2 linked regions of the Canis lupus familiaris genome follow. The protein of the gene in region 1 interacts with the protein of each later gene in a pairwise test. Links are inferred from orthologs where the notes say so. Each region holds a gene or a part of one and is shown on either strand. Other genes may lie near its edges.

Region 1 (4,342 bases):
GGAGCCATGTAAACAGGTGTGACGCAGGAGCCAACCTGAAAGAGCCAAAGGCCAAAGTAGGCTAATTTTAGCAAGAAAGCATTATTGGATTACTAAACAAACCATACAATAAATATCACATACTTAAATCCATACTGATATAAATAAATGATTAAATAAATGGAGGAGAAAAAACCCCAAATCTCTCTTACATAAGAATTCTAAGCGCAGATGCCTCCGCTCCAGGAGGTGGAGTTTAACTCCCATCCTTTTGAGTGTGGGCTGAACTTAATGACTTGCTTCCAAATAATAAAGGGGAAAATAGTCCCTTTACAAAGAAGAAACCGGCAGACACCACCTTACCAAGTGACCAAGGTTAACAGCACCAGCGATAACTTATGTTAACATCACCCCTAATAGTATGCAAATGAAAGGGCAATTGACCTCTTTGCTAGTCTTCACCAAAACCCCAAATTCCAGTCCAATTATGAGAAAACATCAAACAAAGCCAAAGTAGGGAGTCCTACAAAAAATCTGATCAATACTTTTCAAAATTGTCAACCTTATGAAATAAAAGAAAGATTGAGGGACTTAAGGAAGCATAGTATCTAAGTACAAGGTTGGAGCCAAGAACAGTAAAGGACATCAATGGCAAAAGTAATTAAATTTGAAGTCTGCAGTTTAGTTGTGCACTAATGTCAATTTCTTAGTTTTGAAATGATTATGTAAGATGATAGCATTAGGGGAGACTGAGTAGTCTTTATATGCACTGTCTTTATAACTTTGCTAATTATAACCTTATAATTTTAAAATTATCCCCAAATATACAGTTTATTTTTAAAAAATGCAGATGGAACGGTTACAGATTTTTTTTTTTAAGGTTACAGATTTTAAAAATACTGAAAGAAACATAACCAAATGCAATGTGGGGGCATGATTTAGATCCAGACTGGAATAAACTTACTATAAAAAGACCTGGTTGAGACAATGGGGCTGTCCAGATATTAATAAGGAATTGTTAATTTTGCTGGGTGTGATTGTGGTATTGTGGTTATGTTCTAAAATTCTCATCTTTTAGAAATAAAAACTGAAATACTCATCACAGATGAAAGGATGTGATGCTTGGATTTTGCTTTAAAATATTTCCACAAAAAAAAAAAAATAAAATAAAATAAAATAAAATAAAATAAAATATTTCCACAAAACAAATGGAGGAGATGGATGAGGCAAGAGCTGCATAAAGCAAATGACTGGAAACTGGGTGAGGGAAATTTATGGCAATGTTTTCTCGACTTCTGTACCAAGTTGACCATTTCCATACATAAGAAGCTAAAAGAACAAAAAGAAAGATATAAACACCACACACATTCAGACCGATAAGAAGGCTGCCGGTTGGAAGCCATTGAAGAGGAAATTTACCTACAAACTGGGCAATTAACAAGTCCTAACTGGCAAATTTCAGGCTCATTCCTTTTCTCCTCCTGAATAAATACTTACTGGTGGCAGATCAGAAACTAACAGTTAAGGAAAAGTCTAAAGTAAAACAGAATTCCATCAGCCACATTCCATTTATAAAGAAAAAAAAAAAAACTCTTGCAAGGAAGGAATCTTCTGACTCAACCAAGCATGTCTGTGTTGGGGAGGGGGGGGAGAGGGCTACAACAGGCCTCCCCACCATTTAGGTTTTCCTCAAAAGTCTCCAAGTTGTATGGCAAATCTGTGAAGAAACAGCATATAGGGTACCTCGACTCCAGCGGCAGCTAAAACCCATCTTACGGATTCCATCCGGCCTCTTCCATTAGGATAGTGGAGCTTGGGCTTCGCTGCCATGATGGCCTTTCAGGCTTTCTAGAAGGAAAAAAGAAAAAAAAAAAAAAAAAAAAACACAACCAAATGCGCAGCTCCTCCTACAAGAGCAGCCTTATTTCGTGTCTTCCACCCTGTGCTCGCGGCCTAAATGAATATTCAGGATTTTGGCACAGGAAATCGTTTGTTGTTGTTGTTGTTTTAATTGTTGTTTTTTTAAGGACTGCGTTTTCCCTCACTCAATAAAAACCTACCACCGTTTCCAAATATTAAAGGAAACAACCACGTTGGTTTTCATTCTGTTCCTACTTAGGATTTCTTATTCTGGGTCTTAGGAAGCTGGGGACATTTGCTGGATAGGGGTTCGTGCCAGCAGCACGGGCCTTCTTAGATCCGGAAGATCATATCCTTTGACCTTGAAAATCCTGAAATTTCCAAATTCCAAAATCAGGCTGGCGAGGCGGGGCGAGGCGGGACGTGGAGGGCCGCGGGGCACGACGCACCCTCTGCAGCCCTGGCAAGAAGGCGTGCATCCCCGTGCATCCCCGTGCATCCCCGTGCGTCCCCGTGCATCCCCGTGCGTCCCCGTACGCGGTCCTCGCTGCACCTGCAGGTGGAGGGGCCGGGCAGTACTATTGTCTGCAAAACGTGCGTCGGGGGTCCTGCCTGCGGGGTGCCCCCAGGCCTCCGACGTGGCCACCCGAGACCGGACGCCGCTCAGCCCGCGCCTCACCAAGTTTCCGGGGGATCCGAGCTGCGCTTCCACCGAAACCAGAGGCTCCGGACTCCGCGGAGCGGGTTAATAACAATACGCACACGGAGCCAAGGGGGACCCCGGCCCCAGCCAGGGGGTCCCTGGGCGGAGGCGCCCAAGGACCGGAGGGAGGGAGGGACACGAGAGGACCGAAGGGGCCTGGGAGGGAGGGATGCGCTGGACGGTGGACTTCAGAGGCTGGGGGCCGAGGAGCGGGCGGGTGGGGGCGGCCGCAGGGAGACAGACCTGGAGTCGGCTCGCAGCACCCGGAGCCCCACAAAGCGCTCGGCGAGCGGTCTGCGGCGGGGCGGGGCGGGGCCGGCCGGTCCCCGGAAGGCGCCCCGGTGGGCGAGGCTCCGCCAAGCCTCACCAATAGGGACGGCGGTGTTTAGCATGCCCCACCCATCTGCAAGGCATTCTGGATACTATGAGAGCAGCCCCAAATCAAGCCAGTTTTGAGCAAAAATTTCAGCTTTACGAGGAATGGAATGGCCTCGGAAGTGTGGGTTAGGTCACGGTCTTAGATGAAAAGTCCCAGTCGAGAGCCAGTGTGCTCACAGCCACTCGACCTATGTGTAAAGGAAAATCGTCTCTGAGGCATATATAGCGCCTGCGCGGCCCTGGTCTCTCGGATGTGAGGGCGATCTGGCTGCGACATCTGTCACCCCATTGATCGCCAGGGTTGATTCGGCTGATCTGGCTGGCTAGGCGGGTGTCCCCTTCCTCCCTCACCGCTCCATGTGCGTCCCTCCCGAAGCTGCGCGCTCGGTCGAAGAGGACGACCATCCCCGATAGAGGAGGACCGTTCTTCGGTCAAGGGTATACGAGTAGCTGCGCTCCCCTGCTAGAACCTCCAAACAAGCTCTCAAGGTCCATTTGTAGGAGAACGTAGGGTAGTCAAGCTTCCAAGACTCCAGACACATCCAAATGAGGCGCTGCACGTGGCAGTCTGCCTTTCTTTTGACACTTTGACCCTTAGGTTAAGATTTTTCTTTTTTTTTTTAACCCATGCATAAAGGCAAAAGTACCTAAATACTTTTCTAATGTATACTATTAAACAGAACACCCCAAAATAAACAGGACCCATATATTATTAGAACTTGTCCCATTTTGTCTATAGATCATGTACATTTTCCCCCTTTTCTCTCTTGATCATCTTGAGCTTTCCCTTCATTTCTTTTCTTTTTTTTTCCCCTCTTCGTTTCATACGCTTTAAAGACAACCACTCTAAGTCACAGGCTAAATAGAGTACTTCCCTGGATGGGAAAAGGGGGCCATTGGGGTAGAAGTGTCAGTGGAGCTAAAAAAAGTAATTTGGCTGGTAAATAAGTTAAAACTTCAAAAAGTAAAACATAAATAAATAAATAAATAAATAAAACTTCAAAAAGTACAGTAAAGCTATCTTATAGAGCAGAATGCAGAATTGACATGGATCTCAAAGTGTACTGTATACGCCTTCGCCTTCAGGAGGACTTAAGAACTATTTCTTGCTTTTAGAAGTAGCTTCGGCTATTTCTCAAGCTATAGATGTTGATATTATGTCCTCCCTGAGGGACTCCTGAGAGTATCTGCCTTGAGAAGCCTTGGTGCTGAACAACTGCAGCAAATAACACAGAGTTTAATTTCAGTAGATTGCTGTGGCAGGAGTGTGGAGAATGAATTGGGATAGTGGGAAGGAGAGAGAGACCTATTAAATATCCGTGTGCATTAAAGTAGCACCATGAATTTGAAGATAATGGTTAAGAAAAGGTGAGATACGAAGGAGGTGGAAGGTAACAGATTTTCTGATCATGTCACAGGGAG
Region 2 (4,474 bases), on another chromosome or scaffold:
GGCACCTCTCAGGGCTGTAGGAGGTAAGACACAGACCTGGTTTCAAGGGCTCAGAGCAAAGAGGAAGGTCAGATGATCTCCCGAATATCTTTTCAAATATTGACGATGTACCAAAAAGATGATACTTTGGATGAGATTCATCATTAAAATGGATTTCACTAGTTCCTCGTTACATTTTTTAAGGCTGCCATTAGAATATGGAATATTTCGTGTGTGGCTCACATGGTGTTTCTGTTGGGTTTCCCTAAACTCTCCCCTCTTGGGTCTGTGACCCCTTTCTTGTCCGGGGCTCATCTCAGCTCATCTCAGAGTGCGTGTGCCCATTGGGTCTAAGACCTTGTCTCCGGGGACACGAGGCCCCTTCCAGGGACAGCCCAGGGGTCCCAGCGCCAGGTTCTCAGGCCCCTCCTCGCTGGGGGCACACGCAGGTTGTGAGGGTCACCCCTGTAGGGGGATGGTCCACCGGTTCCCACATATTCAGAGTCGTGGCCGGCACTGGCCTTTCGTCACCCCCTAGAGCGACCCCACGTCCCTTAGCGGTCACTCGCTGCCCTTGTCCCTCCCGTGATGCCGGCCGCCTCCCGGCCCTCTGTCCCCTGGTCCCGCGTCCAGCTCTTGACTGCTGATGCTCAGCGGCCTCCTGGGCGGCCTCCCGCCGGCCCCGCAGGGCGCTCCTCCCACGGTCCTCGCGGCGACTCGGACCCGGACCCGGACCCGGACCCGGACCCCACTCCCACCTCTGCTCAGGTCTCCGGCTCCTGCTCTCCCCAGGCTCCTTACTGTGTCGACAGCCCTTCCTTTTAAGTGTCCCCTGCACCCCAACCCCTGCCTACACCCCCCCACACCCCACACGCACCACACACACCCTCACCCCACCACACACAGCAGGTACACACCTCCTCCACACCAACACCTCACACACCACACACCCTACACACATACCACACACACCAACACTCCACACACCACACATACACACACACCCCACGTACACACACCCTCCACACCAATGCCACACGCACACCACATACATACCCCTCCACACCACACACCATACACATACGCCCCCCACACATAACCCTATACCCCACACACATTCACCCTCCACACCCCACCCCCACCCCAAACACACCCCCCCACACAGCACACGTACACACCCCCACACATACCACACACAACCTTCACACCAACACTCCGTAAACACCACACACATACCCCACACACTGTGCACACTGTACACGCACACCCTCACTCCATACACCCCCACCCCTCCACACATCTCACATACACACATCCTCCACACCAACACCACACACACCCCACACACCCTCCAGTCTCACAGCCCACACACCACATATGGACACACATACACCCTATACCCCCACCCCCTTACACACCACACACACACACCACATGTGTACACACACACAACTTCCCCCACACACATCCTGTGCACATATCATACACACCACACACACATACACACACCTGCCACACCCCCATGCCTCACATCTCCCCCCACACCACACACATGCACACACCTCAATACACCAACACACCACAGACACACCACACACCCTCTCACTCTAATCCATCAGCAGTTCTCATAACGCTACCATGAAGCCATTCCTCGAGTTTTCTCAGATCTCAGGCTAGATCACATCATGCTCTTCCTCGAAACCCTTGATGGTGTCTCATTACATTTAAAAAAATATGACCTTTTACAGTATATGACATGTTCCTCCTACTTCTGATCTTTTTTTTAAAGGTTTCTTTTTTTTAAAAAATATTTTATTGATTTATTCATGAGAGGCAGAGAGAGAGGCAGAGATACAGGCTGAGGGAGAAGCAGGGTCCCTGCGGGGACCCCGATGTGAGACTCCATCCCAGGACCCCGGGGTCATGCCCTGAGCCAAAGGCAGGCCCTCAACCACTGAGCCACCCAGGTGTCCCCTATGTCTGATCTTGAGGCTCCTGTCCCCTCGCCGACTGCCTCAGCCACATGGACTGTCTTTGTTTTGTTCTGTTTTTAAAAACACCAGACTCTCCGTGGCCCCTTCTCACATTTCCCGACAGCCTCTGGGCCACCTCCTCAGAGAGGCCTCTGTGAGCAGCCTGTAGAAAGAAGGTGCCCACCGACCCCTCGCTCCATGACACTCGCCACACTATTTCTTGTCTCTCGGCTGGCTTTGTGGTGGCCCAGTCCTGAGCTGGGGGCTCCCAGGAGCCAGGTGTCGGCCTGTGTTGTCCCTCATCGCAGCCTGACAGGAATGTCTGGATTGATCGGATGCCTGAAGGGATGTCTCTCCCTTGGGTCAGAGGGTGAGGGCTCCCCCCCTCCACTGCTGCCCCCCAGTCTCTCCCTGGGGCTCCAGCTGGAGGGATTATTCAAAGGCAGATGGGACCCCAGAGTGAGCGCTGGGCCACCTGGCCCCTGCCACCTCTCCCTCCCACCCTCGGGCTCCAGTCTGGCCGGCGTGTTCTCCCCAACTCGTGGCCCGAGCACTTTGACGCCAACACGTTTGCCTGCTTACTCCTTCTCATGGGTCTCTCTTTTTCCAGAAGCTTCCTAGACCCCGAGGGTCAGGCAGGGCACTCACCAACGCTGCTGGCCCCTCCTCTCGGCCTCCAAGAGCTCCCTCCACAGCTGGTCCCGCTGCACACCGTTCGTTCCCAGGGCCCAGCGCTCCGCTTCTGGGGCCTGGGGGGCTTGGCGACCCCTGCCCACCGCGGGGCCACCTCGGGCAGTGCGGGAATCTACGGCTGGCGGCCTGGTTGAGGGCAGCCGGTACCCAGCGGACGAGGTTTTCTGGAGCCCAGGGGTGGGGGGGCTCCCCATGGGTACGGGTGTGATGGGGAGGCAGAGAGAGACAGAGAAGTGGAGAGATCGAGAGAGACACAGGAGAGAGAGGCTCCGGGCTGAGCCTGGGCGGGGGTCCTCCCCGCCGCCCCCCAGGCCCCAGGCTCCGAGTGGCTGAAGTCGGCGGGGAGAGCGCTGGAGCCGCTGTGTTTTGAGCTTCTGCCTGTGTTGACGGTTGTCCAGGGGACGGGCCAGCTCCCGAGTGTGTGTGACATCTGAACCCGGGGAGGGGGGCGGGTGGAGAGACTTTCTGCGTCTGTACCAGGCCCAGCTCAGCTGCCCCTCAGCTCTGTCCCCAGGGCCCCTGGCCCCCTGGCCCCCTGGCCGGAGACCTCAAAAACAGCATGGGGGAGGGAGAGGGGGACCAGAGCCCTGATTTCTGGGGCAGTGAGGAAAGACCCTGGCTCCTAGACAGGATGGGGGTGTGTTGGGGCCGCGGCCTCCCAATTGCCGCATGGCCTTGAGCTGCTCTGCCCCGCTTGGGGCATGTGAAAGGACCATAATAACCCGCTCAGCTCCCCTGGGGACATGGGCTCCCACCAGAAGGTGGATGGAGGTGCTTCGTGAGCTACAGAGAAGATGCCAGTGCGATGCTCTGCTTCTCTGTTGGAGGAGGCTGCGAGCACGTGGCAGCAAGGGGAACCTGGTGACACTGTACCTTCATACCTGGTCTAGCTGCAAAAACCTGGAGGGTTTACAAAGCACCACCTTCATCTTGCTAAACCCTCCGGATCCCCCAGGACAGGTATTTCGGACTCTGTTCTACAGAGGAAGGAACCAAGGCCCTCGCCAGCGGGATTAGGTGACTGTCCCAGGCCACGCAGTTACTAGCCGAGGCTTGGCCTTGAATTTAGATTTTCTGAAGGAATCAAGGGGAACTGGAGGGTGGGGATTCGCGTTTTGAGCCTCCAGCTGCGAATCTGCTCTCAGCCAGTGTGGCCCGAGTGGCTCTGGGCCCCGGGCCTCTCCGGCCTCTCCTGCTGTGGCTCAGCTAAGCTCCTCGCACACGCCGCCCTCACCTGCTGCCAGGTCTCCCAGCTTCGGGCTGTCCCCTGTCCCTGTCCATGTGGGCAGATTTCTGGATCTTTCCCTGAAACTCTTCTGTGGGCCGATCCAGCTGGGCGTGGTGCTCCCTTCTCTGTATAGCTGGAAAACGGGTTCCCCGTCAACTAAGCACCCACAAAGCCCTGCTCGAGGAGGTATGTCTGGTGCCCCAGGGTGTGGGGACAGGTCAGCCAATGCACCTGAGCTCGCACTGGATCTGCTTTCCAGAAGGAGGGGCCAAGGAGTGAAGAGGACAAGAGGATTTGCCAGGTGGAAAAACTGGGGCAAGGAGGAAAAGCATGGATGCAGGAGGGAGCACCAGTATTGGGGGGAGGTAGAGGGGAGGAGGCGAGGTCTGAGGCTGGCGGGTGGGGCCCCAGGACCACAGGGCTGGTCGGAGCTGTGCCTGGAGTTAGCGCACAAGGGAGAGAGAGACGCTGCTGAGGCAAAGAAGCATCGGGAAAGAAGAAGCAGGGGAGTGACCACGGCCATGGCCCAGGTGAGCGGTGGGGAGGCCCGCACTGGCTTTGGGCCGAGGGCTGGAACAGAGATGGGGTGACAGCGGCCAGC

What was found.
Region 2: the proteins of GSTA4 (region 1) and C17H2orf50 interact in binary tests that used the Homo sapiens proteins (3 or more experiments, as listed by UniProt). The two-hybrid records come from large-scale screens. The link is inferred for Canis lupus familiaris from reciprocal best matches to the Homo sapiens genes GSTA4 and CIMIP5.

The regions. Positions count from the first base shown.
Region 1 is NC_049233.1:20,685,603-20,689,944, forward strand, and holds the start of GSTA4 (glutathione S-transferase A4), read right to left. Parts: upstream 2,835-4,342; 5' UTR 2,786-2,834; intron 1,828-2,785; 5' UTR 1,810-1,827; coding exon 1,723-1,809; intron 1-1,722. UniProt on the Homo sapiens protein: Conjugation of reduced glutathione to a wide number of exogenous and endogenous hydrophobic electrophiles. This isozyme has a high catalytic efficiency with 4-hydroxyalkenals such as 4-hydroxynonenal (4-HNE).
Region 2 is NC_049238.1:7,907,910-7,912,383, reverse strand, and holds the start of C17H2orf50 (uncharacterized protein C2orf50 homolog), read right to left. Parts: upstream 2,993-4,474; 5' UTR 2,840-2,992; coding exon 2,601-2,839; intron 1-2,600.